Tribolium castaneum: one gene and its partners. The protein of the gene in region 1 binds, or shares a complex with, the protein of each later gene. Links are inferred from orthologs where the notes say so. Each region holds a gene or a part of one and is shown in the gene's direction. Other genes may lie near its edges. The genes, in order: Gas8, dynein regulatory complex protein 8 and dynein regulatory complex subunit 3.

Evidence for each region.
Region 2: Gas8 (region 1) and dynein regulatory complex protein 8 share a complex: the UniProt entries of both Homo sapiens proteins name them as parts of the nexin-dynein regulatory complex. The link is inferred for Tribolium castaneum from reciprocal best matches to the Homo sapiens genes DRC4 and DRC8.
Region 3: Gas8 (region 1) and dynein regulatory complex subunit 3 share a complex: the UniProt entries of both Homo sapiens proteins name them as parts of the nexin-dynein regulatory complex. The link is inferred for Tribolium castaneum from reciprocal best matches to the Homo sapiens genes DRC4 and DRC3.

The regions. Positions count from the first base shown.
Region 1 is NC_087400.1:9,427,053-9,431,463, forward strand, and holds the start of Gas8 (dynein regulatory complex subunit 4), read left to right. Parts: upstream 1-1,569; 5' UTR 1,570-1,756; coding exon 1,757-1,759; intron 1,760-1,809; coding exon 1,810-2,039; intron 2,040-2,090; coding exon 2,091-2,352; intron 2,353-4,201; coding exon 4,202-4,320; intron 4,321-4,375; coding exon 4,376-4,411. UniProt on the Homo sapiens protein: Component of the nexin-dynein regulatory complex (N-DRC), a key regulator of ciliary/flagellar motility which maintains the alignment and integrity of the distal axoneme and regulates microtubule sliding in motile axonemes.
Region 2 is NC_087394.1:7,332,881-7,335,897, forward strand, and holds dynein regulatory complex protein 8, read left to right. Parts: upstream 1-1,551; 5' UTR 1,552-1,686; coding exon 1,687-1,717; intron 1,718-1,767; coding exon 1,768-2,005; intron 2,006-2,051; coding exon 2,052-2,262; intron 2,263-2,311; coding exon 2,312-2,446; 3' UTR 2,447-2,468; downstream 2,469-3,017. Other genes in the region: delta(3,5)-Delta(2,4)-dienoyl-CoA isomerase, mitochondrial, read right to left, coding at 2,502-2,600. UniProt on the Homo sapiens protein: Component of the nexin-dynein regulatory complex (N-DRC), a key regulator of ciliary/flagellar motility which maintains the alignment and integrity of the distal axoneme and regulates microtubule sliding in motile axonemes.
Region 3 is NC_087394.1:30,246,407-30,250,858, forward strand, and holds dynein regulatory complex subunit 3, read left to right. Parts: upstream 1-1,568; 5' UTR 1,569-1,943; coding exon 1,944-2,100; intron 2,101-2,151; coding exon 2,152-2,435; intron 2,436-2,482; coding exon 2,483-2,655; intron 2,656-2,704; coding exon 2,705-3,053; intron 3,054-3,100; coding exon 3,101-3,496; exon of another isoform or gene 3,497-3,542; coding exon 3,543-3,682; exon of another isoform or gene 3,683-3,728; coding exon 3,729-3,861; 3' UTR 3,862-3,953; downstream 3,954-4,452. Other genes in the region: TOM1-like protein 2, read right to left, coding at 1,090-1,153; enoyl-CoA delta isomerase 1, mitochondrial, read right to left, coding at 3,972-4,088. UniProt on the Homo sapiens protein: Component of the nexin-dynein regulatory complex (N-DRC) a key regulator of ciliary/flagellar motility which maintains the alignment and integrity of the distal axoneme and regulates microtubule sliding in motile axonemes.

The DNA.
Region 1 (4,411 bases):
CAGTTGGGCCCCAAAGTCGTTCTCAGACGCTCAAGCGACGGATTTGGTTTATTTTACCGGTGGTCAGATCTTGGAATGTTAAATTATACATAAACCATTATTAATAGAAATATGGTGTTGCAGTTTTTTTGTAGAAAATTTAATTCTCTATAACTTTGTTCCTTACACATTTTTGGTATCTTTAACCGTTTTTACTACGTTCTCAAAAATATAAGGTGGAACGCAAGTTGATAATTCAAAGCAATAATTCTTTGCGCACCGGCGCATATTTATCAAAACACTGGGAATACGGAACTGAATTTTTTGTAAAAAAAGTACTTGACACCATATTTCTATCTTCTACAGTTTATACAGGGTGCATCAGAAATACGTGTCTTAATTTTAACAGGTAATAGAGCTCAACAAATAAAACATCTTTTCTATTTGTAATTTTTCAATAAAAAATTTGCAAATTTACTCAAAATTTGAAAAAAGATAACATACTGAAACGTGTACTCATCTATAAGTACAAAAATAAGTGAACTGAACTATTTTCGTTGTGATAGAAACGGACAATTTAAACAATTTAAAACAACAATGCAAATGGTTGCCATGAATGCAATAATTATTAAACACTGACCGACTCGTTTGCACAAAAGAAAGGAGGAAAACGAAGAAAATTATAAATAACAATTTTGCAAAATGTTATATAGAAATGTTGTTCTCTTTGATGAGTTTTATTACGTGTTAAAATTAACACACGAATTTTTGATACATCCTGTATACATAGTGGATAAAAGTGGGTTGTTTCTAAATTTCTATAAATATGCAACCAATAATAGCGATTCCTGCTGACCAGATGGGTAATTGTTAAAAAAATTAATTTAATCCAAGATTACATTGTTCTGGATAGTGTCAAGTTTGTCTTGACAGTTCATTATAGATTTTGTTATAGATTATTATTATTTAAATGATAAAAAACCAGTGTTAATTTAAATAATGTTTTAAAAATCAAATTCCAAGTCGTACGTGCAATTAGTATTTTTGGTTGCATTTTAGGACATGTTAGAAGTAACCCACTATTGACTCACCCTGTAATAATTAACTTTATACCTACACTTGGTTCAGCGTCTTCAAGGCATAAACCGATGACGTTAGAAATATGGTCTGGCGGTCTTCTTTACAGGAAATTTAATTCATTTGAAATTTTTTCCCAATTTTAAATCTTAAATAATTTTTTCTCATGTTTGTTATGAAAATTTTAGTCGTCAGTTTTTGTTAAGAGTGCAGAGCTTAACATTTCTGCATTTTTTCCAAGTAATGAGTGAGTTGGTTGGATTTAAATTAATTTAAAATCGCTTGAAGCGCCCTCATTTTTTCTCCGCTGTACTATTTTTTTAAGTTCAGAAATTTCTGCGATTTTCTGTCTCGTTTCGTCTCCAAACTAATAAATAGTCCTCCATAATTCACACTGTAGTATACTAGGTTATAAAAATAAAGTTTTGTGCATCCGATTTTAATAATTACTGGTTTAATAAGAAATAACAAATAAAAGATTAATTCTTCACAAGTTTTTTTGTCACTCCGACACATTTTCTAAATAGTCATTTAGATGCCAAATTTTCTGACAGAATATTTTTAGTGTCATTGACTCATTGGGCAGAATTCTCCCTTAAAATAAGTCCATTCCAAAGAAATCGATACGCGGGTAGTAACCATCTAAACAAATAGTTTCTTGAAGAACTGCTAGCTAGTTCATTCACTTTCACTTCGTAAAATGGTTCAGTATTTTAATAATTGTTTGAATTTTCGCTAATTAAAATTTTCCAGCCTCCCAAAAAGAAAGGTGGAAAAGGAAAAGGCGGTTCGGGAAATATCATCGATGGAGTGGACACAACTCAAATGACCCGAGAGCAGCTCGAGGTCTTCTGCCACCGAATAAAAGAGGAAAACGAACGAGAAAGAGAAGAACGAAATTTCTTTCAACTCGAAAGAGATAAATTACGGACGTTTTGGGAAATCACAAAAAATGAACTTGAAGAAGCTAAAGCAAAACTCAGGTGCAAAAATTAAAAATTTGTAAAAACAAACACTAGAATAAAAATTTGTAGAAACAAAGACCGACAGATTGAGGAAGCGGCTGAGAAAAACGAAGAAGAACTGAAATTTTACAAGCAAAAAGTCAAACATTTGCAATACGAACACCAAAACAACTTAACAGAATGTAAAGCTGAAGCGCTTGTTTCGCTGAAAATGTCACAAGATGACCACACTGAACAGGAAAGAGAATTGTTGCGAGATAAGCGAGATTTGAAAGCGCAAATGCGGGAACAAGAAGTCGCCCATCAAGATCAAGTCAAAGCTTTAAAACTGGTACCTATGATTATTTGAATTTAAATAGTTATTATTATTAATAATACGGCTGTCGTTATGCAACGAGCGTATGCGATACCCGAGTGTTTTCGTATGCCTGTTTTTTGTTAGAACATTTTAATTTAAAACACGTTGCTATGAAAAGTGTGTTTTAAAATAGCGAAAACCCGTTGCTATGGGAAACGTGTTTTAAAATAATGTTTATAATCTAGGATTCAGATATTAAAAAAAAGACTTAAAATAGTACCAAAAAAAAATAGTTATTAATGATAAGAGTCCAAAAACACAAGCCTAAAGTTTGAGAGCCCTCTTTATGCAACGAGCGTATGCGAGTTTCATACCTAGACACCCGAGAAGTTTAAGCGTTTTCGTATGAGTGTTATTCAATTTTTTTTTGTTGGAATATTTTAATTTAAAATACGTTGCTATTGGAAGCGTGTTTTAAAATAACGAAAACATGTTGCTATGGGAAACGTGTTTTAGAATAGTGTTTATGATTTAGGATTCTAATATCAAAAAGAAGGCTTAAAATGTTACCAACAAAAAATAGTTATTAATAATACGAGTGCAAAAACACAAGATCAAAGTTCGAAGGCTGTCGTTATGAAACGAGCATATGCGAGTTGCATACCTAAACACCCAAGAACTTTAAGCGTCTTCGTTTGAGTGTTATTTAAAAATTTTTGTTGGAACATTTTAATTTAAAACACGTTGCTATGAAAAGCGTGTTTTAAAATAACGAAAACACGTTGCTATGGGAAACGTGTTTTAAAATAATGATCATAATCTAGGATTCAGATATTAAAAAAATGCTTAAAATGTTATAAAAAAAATAGTTATTAATAATAAGAGTCCGAAAACACAAGCTTAAAGTTTGAGGGCTGTTTTTATGCAACGAGCGCATGCGAGACACCCGAGAAGTTTAAGCGTTTTCGTATGAGTGTTATTCAATTTTTTTTGTTGAAATATTTTAATTTAAAATACGTTGCTATGGGAAGCGTGTTTTAAAATAACGAAAACACGTTGCTATGGGAAACGTGTTTTAGAATAGTGTTTATAATTTAGGATTCAGATATTAAAAAGAAGGCTTAAAATGTTACTAACAAAAATAGTTATTAATAATAAGAGTAAAACACAAGCTTAAAGTTTGAGGGCGTATGCAAGTTACATACCTAGACACCTGAGAATATGTTAATTTAAAACACGTGGCTATAAAAAGCGTGTTTTAAAATAGCGAAAACCCGTTGCTATGGGAAACGTGTTTTAAAATAATGTTTATAATCTAGGATTCAGATATTAAAAAAAAGACTTAAAATAGTACCAAAAAAAAATAGTTATTAATGATAAGAGTCCAAAAACACAAGCCTAAAGTTTGAGAGCCCTCTTTATGCAACGAGCGTATGCGAGTTTCATACCTAGACACCCGAGAAGTTTAAGCGTTTTCGTATGAGTGTTATTCAATTTTTTTTTGTTGAAATATTTTAATTTAAAATACGTTGCTATGGGAAGCGTGTTTTAGAATAGTGTTTATGATTTATGATTCTGATATTAAAAAGAAGGCTTAAAATGTTACCAACAAAAAATAGTTATTAATAATACGAGTGCGAAAACACAAGCTTAAAGTTAGAGGGCTGTCATTATGCAACGAGCATATGCGAGTTGCATACCTAGACACCCGAGAACTTTAAGCGTTTTCGTATGAGTGTTATTCAATTTTTTTTTGTTGGAACATTTTATTTTTTAAAACACGTTGCTATGGGAAGCGTGCTTTAAAATAATGTTTATAATCTAGGATTGAGATATAAAAAAAGGCTTAAAATATTACCAATAAAAAAATAATTGTTTTTAGCAACATAGTGAAGAGATAAGCACCATCAGAAACCAATTCGAACTGAAAGAAAAAGAACTGGAAAATAAATACGAAAAAAAATTTGCTGACCTGAAACAAGAATTAAACATCAAACATACGTAATCAAGGAATAAATGTGCAAGTTTTTTACATTATTTACCATATTTGTTGTAGGATGGAAATGTCGGAGCTGGAAGAGCGCAAAAATAA
Region 2 (3,017 bases), on another chromosome or scaffold:
TTTAGAAAAGAATCAGAGAAAAGAACAGAAACAATGCTAAAGAATAATTTAAAAATTATAAAGGGAACTACAGAGGAATTTAATAGCGCATCCAAAGATGGATTTACTAAAATAATGTAAAGAGGAATCCAGATTTCAGATCTACAAACGGTTTCAAAAAAGAACTCGAGTAGGATCTCAAGAAAAATCTAGAGAAGAGTACAAAAACAATGCTAAAGAATAAAAATATATTGCGAGAGAAAAATTCTATACATAACTGTAGGACAATTTTGAAAAGATGCAGAGTGCAATCTAGGAGAGGTTTTGGATAAAAAAAATTAAAAGAGTTTATAAAATAATTTTGAGTAGTATAGAAAATAATTTCTAAAGAAGTATATGGAGATGGATTTATAAAATAATTTAAAAAGTTCCAATTTTAGGTTTAGAAACGATTTTTTAAAATATTTGAGACTTATTTTAAAAACAATCTAAAAAAGAGTAGACAAACAAATAATGCCAAAAAATAATTTAGAAAAATTCGAAACGAAAGTACAAAGGAATTTTCAAACAAAGCAGACCTAATAATTGTCTTAAAAAACGTGAAAAATTCGTGAATTTATACAATAATCGAAAGAAGAATCTATATTTCAGATCTAGAATTAGGCTTATTTAGGAAAAAAAGAAAAGAAAAGAATTAGAAAAGTATATGAAAAAAAAATCCAGAGAAGACTACAGAATTAATAAAAATTATTTGGAAAAATTGTAAAGGAAACTACAGAAGAATTTATAACCGAATCTAAAGATGTAACCTAAAGAAGATTATAACCTAATAAGATTATTTCAAGAGAAAAATTCTATACGAAACTGTAGAAGAATTTTGGAAAGATACAGAGTAGAATCTAGAAGAAAATTTGGATAAAAATATTTGAAAAAAAGTGTATAAAATAATTTTGATTAGAGTCTAGAAAATAATTCTAAAGACGTATCTACAGATACCTAGAGTCTCCTCTACAAAAAAATTTAGAAGAATATTATGAACAATGTAAAAAAAAGTACATAAATAAAATAATAATACAGACTAAAAAATAATTTGGAAGAATTTTAAACGACGCAGACAAGAATCTTAAATTTGGATAATGTCAAAAAAATGTAAAAGTGTTAATAAAACAATTTTGGATTTGAAAGAAGAATCTAGAGAAGATGGATTTATAAAATAATCTAAAGAAGAGTACAGAAAGCTAAAGAATAATCTGGAAGAAATTTAAACGAAACTAAAGGAAAATCTTGAAAAACTGCAAAGTAGAATCTACTACAGAGTGACTATTAAAGACTGTGACAAAAAAACCTATTAGTAACACTGAATTATTGGCCTTCATGGTGGCTTGTTATATTAAGATTTCAAATTTGTCACCAACCTGACAAGAATCGCAATTTTTGAATAATCACCTGGTAAAGAGAATTTGAATAATATTTGTGTATTTATTTTATTTACACTGTTTTTTGTCATTCGTAATTTGTGCAACATAAATATGGCATTTTTACTTTTTAATGTTATTTTTAATTAAGAGTAATTATTATTATTGGTGATTTTTACCAAAAAAATATGCAAGTGGTACAACTGCCAACACTTCAAATCACCTAGCAACCAAAACTGTCGCTAGGAGACCGTCAACTGTTTAAACCTTAACGATTATCAAAATTGTTAAAATGTTGGAAGACGAAGAAGAAGAAATTCATGGTTTTTGTCAAAAACTCGTCTTTTTCCAAAAAACCAACACGTTTTTTTAGTGCCTATTAATAATGACTTGGAGCGCAGAATTGCCGACGCGTTTGAAGTTTTCGACCACGCAGGTAACAAAACAGTCGATGTTCGAGAAGTGGCAACGATCGTACGTGCCTTGGGTTGTTGCCCCACTGAGGCAGAAATTCAGGAAATTTTGATGGCTGTTGAAAACCCCGAATCTCCCGGAAGTGTACACTTGTCTAATTTTTTACCCCACATGTCGCAAATCATCACTGAACACAAGTATCACCAAAATTTAATCGCCAAAAAACGAAATTTTCATTCGCAGGTATCAGCCTGCAAGTCCCGCGCAACTTTTAGAAGCGTTCCAAGTGCTAGATAATGAAGGTAAAGGTTTTTTAACAAAGGAACGCATTTCCACGCTTATGACGCAAGATGGTGAGCCCTTTACCCAAGACGAACTCGACGAAATGCTGGAAATAGCCATAGACCCACACACTCAAACTGTGCCTTATGAATATTACATCAATCAGCTAATGGTACCTAATTTTTATTTTTGCAAATATTGCACTACGTTATTTTTAATAGCACGAACCTGAAGGAGAGAAAGATATCTATAAGTTAGCTGATCGTGTTCTTGAGGAAAATCCACCTCCACCTCCTCCTCCTCCACCTCGAAGGCTGTCCGAGTTCCTGCATGATTTGTCCGTTCCTGAATTTTAAATTATAAAACACTCCAAACTTCCACCTTGTTTATTATTTAATCTTCTTGCTTAATTTACAATTTTGCGAAAACTGTATCTTTCTGTTTGGTAGCTTGGGCTACTGTTGCTGTTGTGAAGTCTTCACTTTGAAGCATTAGCTGATTCCATAAGGCCTGTAAGTAATGTGTTATTAATTTATTATTTTTTGCAGCTGGATTAAGAAACAAGCACTAATGGGGGCGCCATTGAAAAATAAGCTTAATTTATCTTCTTGTTATTTAATTAAGGCAAGTTTCCTTTTATTAGGTGGTTTCAGTGAACATTAATAAAGAATAAAGAAATATTTCTGTGTTGTTACTGATAAATAGTTACTCCTTCTGTTCGAAAATACGGTAGGTATAACTTTTAAAGGCCGGTAAGTAATTACCAGTGTGAGGAAATTTTAGGGGGTGGCCATGAGGCCACAACCGATCAGCCGACTCGTCGTAGCGCTCTCGCGATGTTCATATTTATCGATGAAATGGTCCGCTACAGCGTGTGCATTGGCGTAGTTTACTTGGGGTTTATACAATTAATGTTACCGGTCGCTT
Region 3 (4,452 bases), on another chromosome or scaffold:
ATAACTGTAATACATGTAACACATGCCTCGCCCATACAGTTGCATGCTATTGCAACATTTTACGTACAAATTAACTTTACTATTAATTTTGTAGTACAATTTAATTTACCAAATGACTAGGTTCACATCCATTTTAATAATTAAATCTAATCACTTAAATAAATGTGGTGCACGCTGCAGTAATCACAATTAATTATAATAATTGTAAAGAAAAGTTTTGGAGAGGACGTTGTTTTTTGTTAGCCAAACATTTTAAAATTTTATCTGAAAAAAATATGTCTGGTTCATTACTTAAATATTTACCAATGTCTCACAACACATTGTTGAATGATTGTTTATGGACTTATTATTACTATGTTATTGGTCATTTTCGAAAATTCTTGTTGCTCTATTTTACACTTGAATTATTCATGTAAATAGGCGATAGAAAAGAATTTATATTGTTATTTTTATTCTAAGGTGATTAAGAACGCGCAAAAATAGTTCCAATTAATTAACTGATCTGAATTAGCATAAATACATATGTATATTTATTTTAAAGCAACGATGAAAAATATTTCAACTACGTTTTGCCCATAAAATTATCAAAGAATGTGGGTACTACAGCGGTATTATTCCTAACTGTTGTGACATACATAAGAGATTATTGTACCGATAACGCAAAGTATTTTTTTAATAATAGGTTTAAATAGACAAATTTCCATAGGACCCCGTGAAGAAAGCATAAAACGTCTCAGTTGATAGCCTATGTAGAGTAGTATAAGTCACACCTATTGGTAAATAATTATAAACAAATTTGGTACGAAATAAAAACCACGCTGTAGTTGTGACAAACAAAATGTAAATGCAAAAACCTACACCTACACAGACAGCGATGACGAAGTACCTTAGAATTATTACCAGAAACAGTAATTAAACAGTCTGATGAATAGATATAGGTGAATCAGCCAACAAAAGTGATAAACAATGTAATCTAAACAATAAAATACAGTGCCAGCACCGGTTTCTAGTTCTATTTACGTTTTATTAAATCGATTTTAACAACGGAAAAAAATTAAATGAAATCCGGCAATGCCAAGCGGGACTCACCAATTCGCGATCCTACGGGCGTCGAAAAGGGATTTCCTCCTAATGCAGTTCCAAAAAAAGACATTTTTTATTTCTAAATTAAATTTCACGATTGCACTTTCTTGTTGTCACTTGACTTCTGTCACTGTCACTTGTCAAAACAAGAAAACACTGCGGCGCTTGCGCAATACTTCCGCTCCTAAATCTAAAATTTTCCGACGAAAATAACAATTTTATTTCAAACAAATAAACTGCATGACGCGCTTGTTGGTGTGTTAGTCACTGTTTTTCTAATTTATTGATCTTTTCATTCCCAAGTTGTGTAAACTTCTGAATAAAAAGACGTCAGACATGTGTCACGTGATCAAAAATTATACGAGGTGCGGTTCACAATTTAAAGTTCTTTTTTTATGTTATTTTTCCGTTCTTTCACGTAATATACTACCAAAGCGAGCATTTCTGCATTTATAACTGTGCTGTTGTCATTTCTTCTTTGATACAGAATACAACGTAATTTTACAATTTTGAGTATTTTTTTATAAGTTGCGGTATCAGCACTCGGCTTCGCCTCGACTACAATTTCGCAAACTCTTAATTGTAAAGATTTTTTTACTCCAAAAACCCTCTCTGGGCTATTTTTATCTACTTAGACGTTATAATCTACCTGTAAAGAGTTTTTTGTAATTGATATAATTTCACAATGAAAAATAATAAAACTCAAGAGCACAAGCTCGGCAAACTCAAAGATTCATGATTTCTCAAGTCCATAGCAACAATAAGGTACTTAAACAACAGTCATTGTGACATCAATAATTTCAAGAATGCTTGAAAAGGTATTTGTATCGATTTAGTGTGCCTAATGAAAATTTGTAAAAATGAATCCTTGTAAATTGAAAGAGCCAAAAGTAATAGACAATGCCCTTCTGGAGAAATGTATCAAAGACCAGGGCCCCAAGGGTGAAGCGGGTCGCTTGGCGGAGATCGAAAAAATCCCCCTTGAAGACGTCACCGAGATTCGCTTAGAATTTCTGAGTAACAATTCTTGTAAAATTTAAACCCGACTTTCTGTGTCCCTATCCGTAGATATCTTAAGAATTGACCACTTGTGGGTGCTGACATCTTTAACGAAATTAAATCTCAACAATAATTTACTGGAAAAAATCGAAAATTTGGAAAGTCTGGTGAACTTAACTGAACTAAATTTATCATTCAATAAAATAGCTAAAATCGAAAATTTAGACGAGCTTCGCAACCTTGAAAAGCTGAGTCTGTATGATAACGAAATCACGGTTTTGGAGAACATGGACACTTTAACAAAATTAACAGTTTTTAGCATTGGAAGAAACAAAATTGACGACTTGGACAATGTATTACGAAAAATAATTGTGTTCTAGAATACACAAATATTTTATAGATTCTGTATTTGCGACGATTCGGCAATTTAAAATCGTTAAATCTAGTGGGGAATCCCTGTGCCGAGGATGAAGATTTTCGTTTATTTATTGCAGTTTTTCTGCCACAACTCGTTTACTACGAATATAAATTAATATACGAGTCGGAACGGGAACTTGGACACGAAACTTTCAGGTTTCTAGCTAAAATTGTTTAAGTGAACATCAGTAGGAGAGTTTTTTAGTGCAAAACTGCGAGCATTGTTGGAGAAAGAGGAGAAGGAACGGGAAATCACTGCGATAAAGGAACAAGAGTTGGCCGATGCCGAACTTCACGCCTCTAGTTTCGTGGAGTATTTAAACACTCGCCATTTGTTCGACTCTTTATTTGCCAACGACACCGACGGCATGAACTTGATGAAAATCGGCGAAGACGCGCAAGAATTCTACGACGAGTACGAGGAGAACTTCATCGAACTGTGTAAACAAATATTCGAAAATGGGCAACAACAGTACATCCTGCGCAAAACCGAACAGGACCAGTTCTTAAAATGCGTCGAAGACGCAAATAAGGACAATCAAGACGAAAGCATTGTACGCCCCCTTTCGAATTTACTTATAGCCCCAAATTTCGTCCGTAGAAACACATGGAGATCTTCCTGGAGAAGAAGGCAATACTGTTCCTCAAAATCAAAAACGTGCAAAACCAGCTGAACTCAAACGAAATAAATTACGACGAGTTTATCGACAAATGCGACGTCTTCGTGGTGGAGTACGACGAGATGTTGCACGAAGTTTGGAAAGCGCTAATGAAACTGGAACTGGAACTTTACGAACAAATGGAAGAAGTCAACCAAACTTTCGAACACAACATCACAGAACTCGTTAATAATTTCATTGAATCGTCGCAGGCTTTCTTTACGCAGATCAGAGAGCTGGAAGTGAGCTACGCTGAAAATATCGGCGATTTGGCCACAAAGTTTCAAACAAATGCCAATTTGAATGAGGAAATCGAAGTTCCCGCAGTTCTTAAACCGGTAACTTCCGGCACTTGCTTTATTAATAATTTCAATGAGATTACAGCTTATGGCAGATAAGGATCTTCTGCACAACGCGTTGGCAACAAGTCACGATATGCACATGCAGATTATCGATGCGAGAGAAGACACTCTCATTTCGAACGCCAAGGATTGGCTAAATGATTTAATCGACGATTTAAACACGTAAGTTATGCCTTTACTTTTCCCGAAAAATATCCACAACTTGTAGGAATGAGATCAAGCGAAACAGGGGGAAAGTGCTGGAAATTAACCACTTTCTTGAAATCCAAAGGCAGGAGTTTGAGGATTTGAATAAGGAATACGCGCCTGATCTCAAGGATGACGTTATAGCCTTGGAATAAGTAAGATAGTAAAATATACTTTATTTTTACAAAAGTACTTACACATATTCTTGGTTTGGATAATAAATTTTACACTTCATTATATAAAAGAATATCAACTTATAATATCCTTATTTCTGTTTCTGCTTCAATGATTGCAGATACATTTCCAACCCCTTTTGCACACTGTCCTGAGCTACGTAATTCGCCACATATTCGTAATCTTTTTGGAGATTGTTAGTGAGGTCCTGAAATAAAAACTCATTTTTACAAAATATATAATTGAGCCTTAAATACAAAAATGCCAAAAAAGTCTATAAAAAAATCATAATACTAATTGCATCACATAATATGTTGAGATAAAAATATGTTTCCTTGGTGAGTTTCCTTAATAAAACATTTCGTTATATTTCCTTGCATTTTTAATAATGATTTTACCTACCTAGTTTTTGAAACTTAAAAAAAATACGGATAAATGCCAACTGATTAATTTCTGCAGAAAGATAGTACCCTCAACTTCTAGTATAAACTTAATTCGAAAGTATTACCAACAATTTCAGTACTAAAAGATCTTGGGGTTTTTTGGATAACAAATTATTTTTGAGATAATTT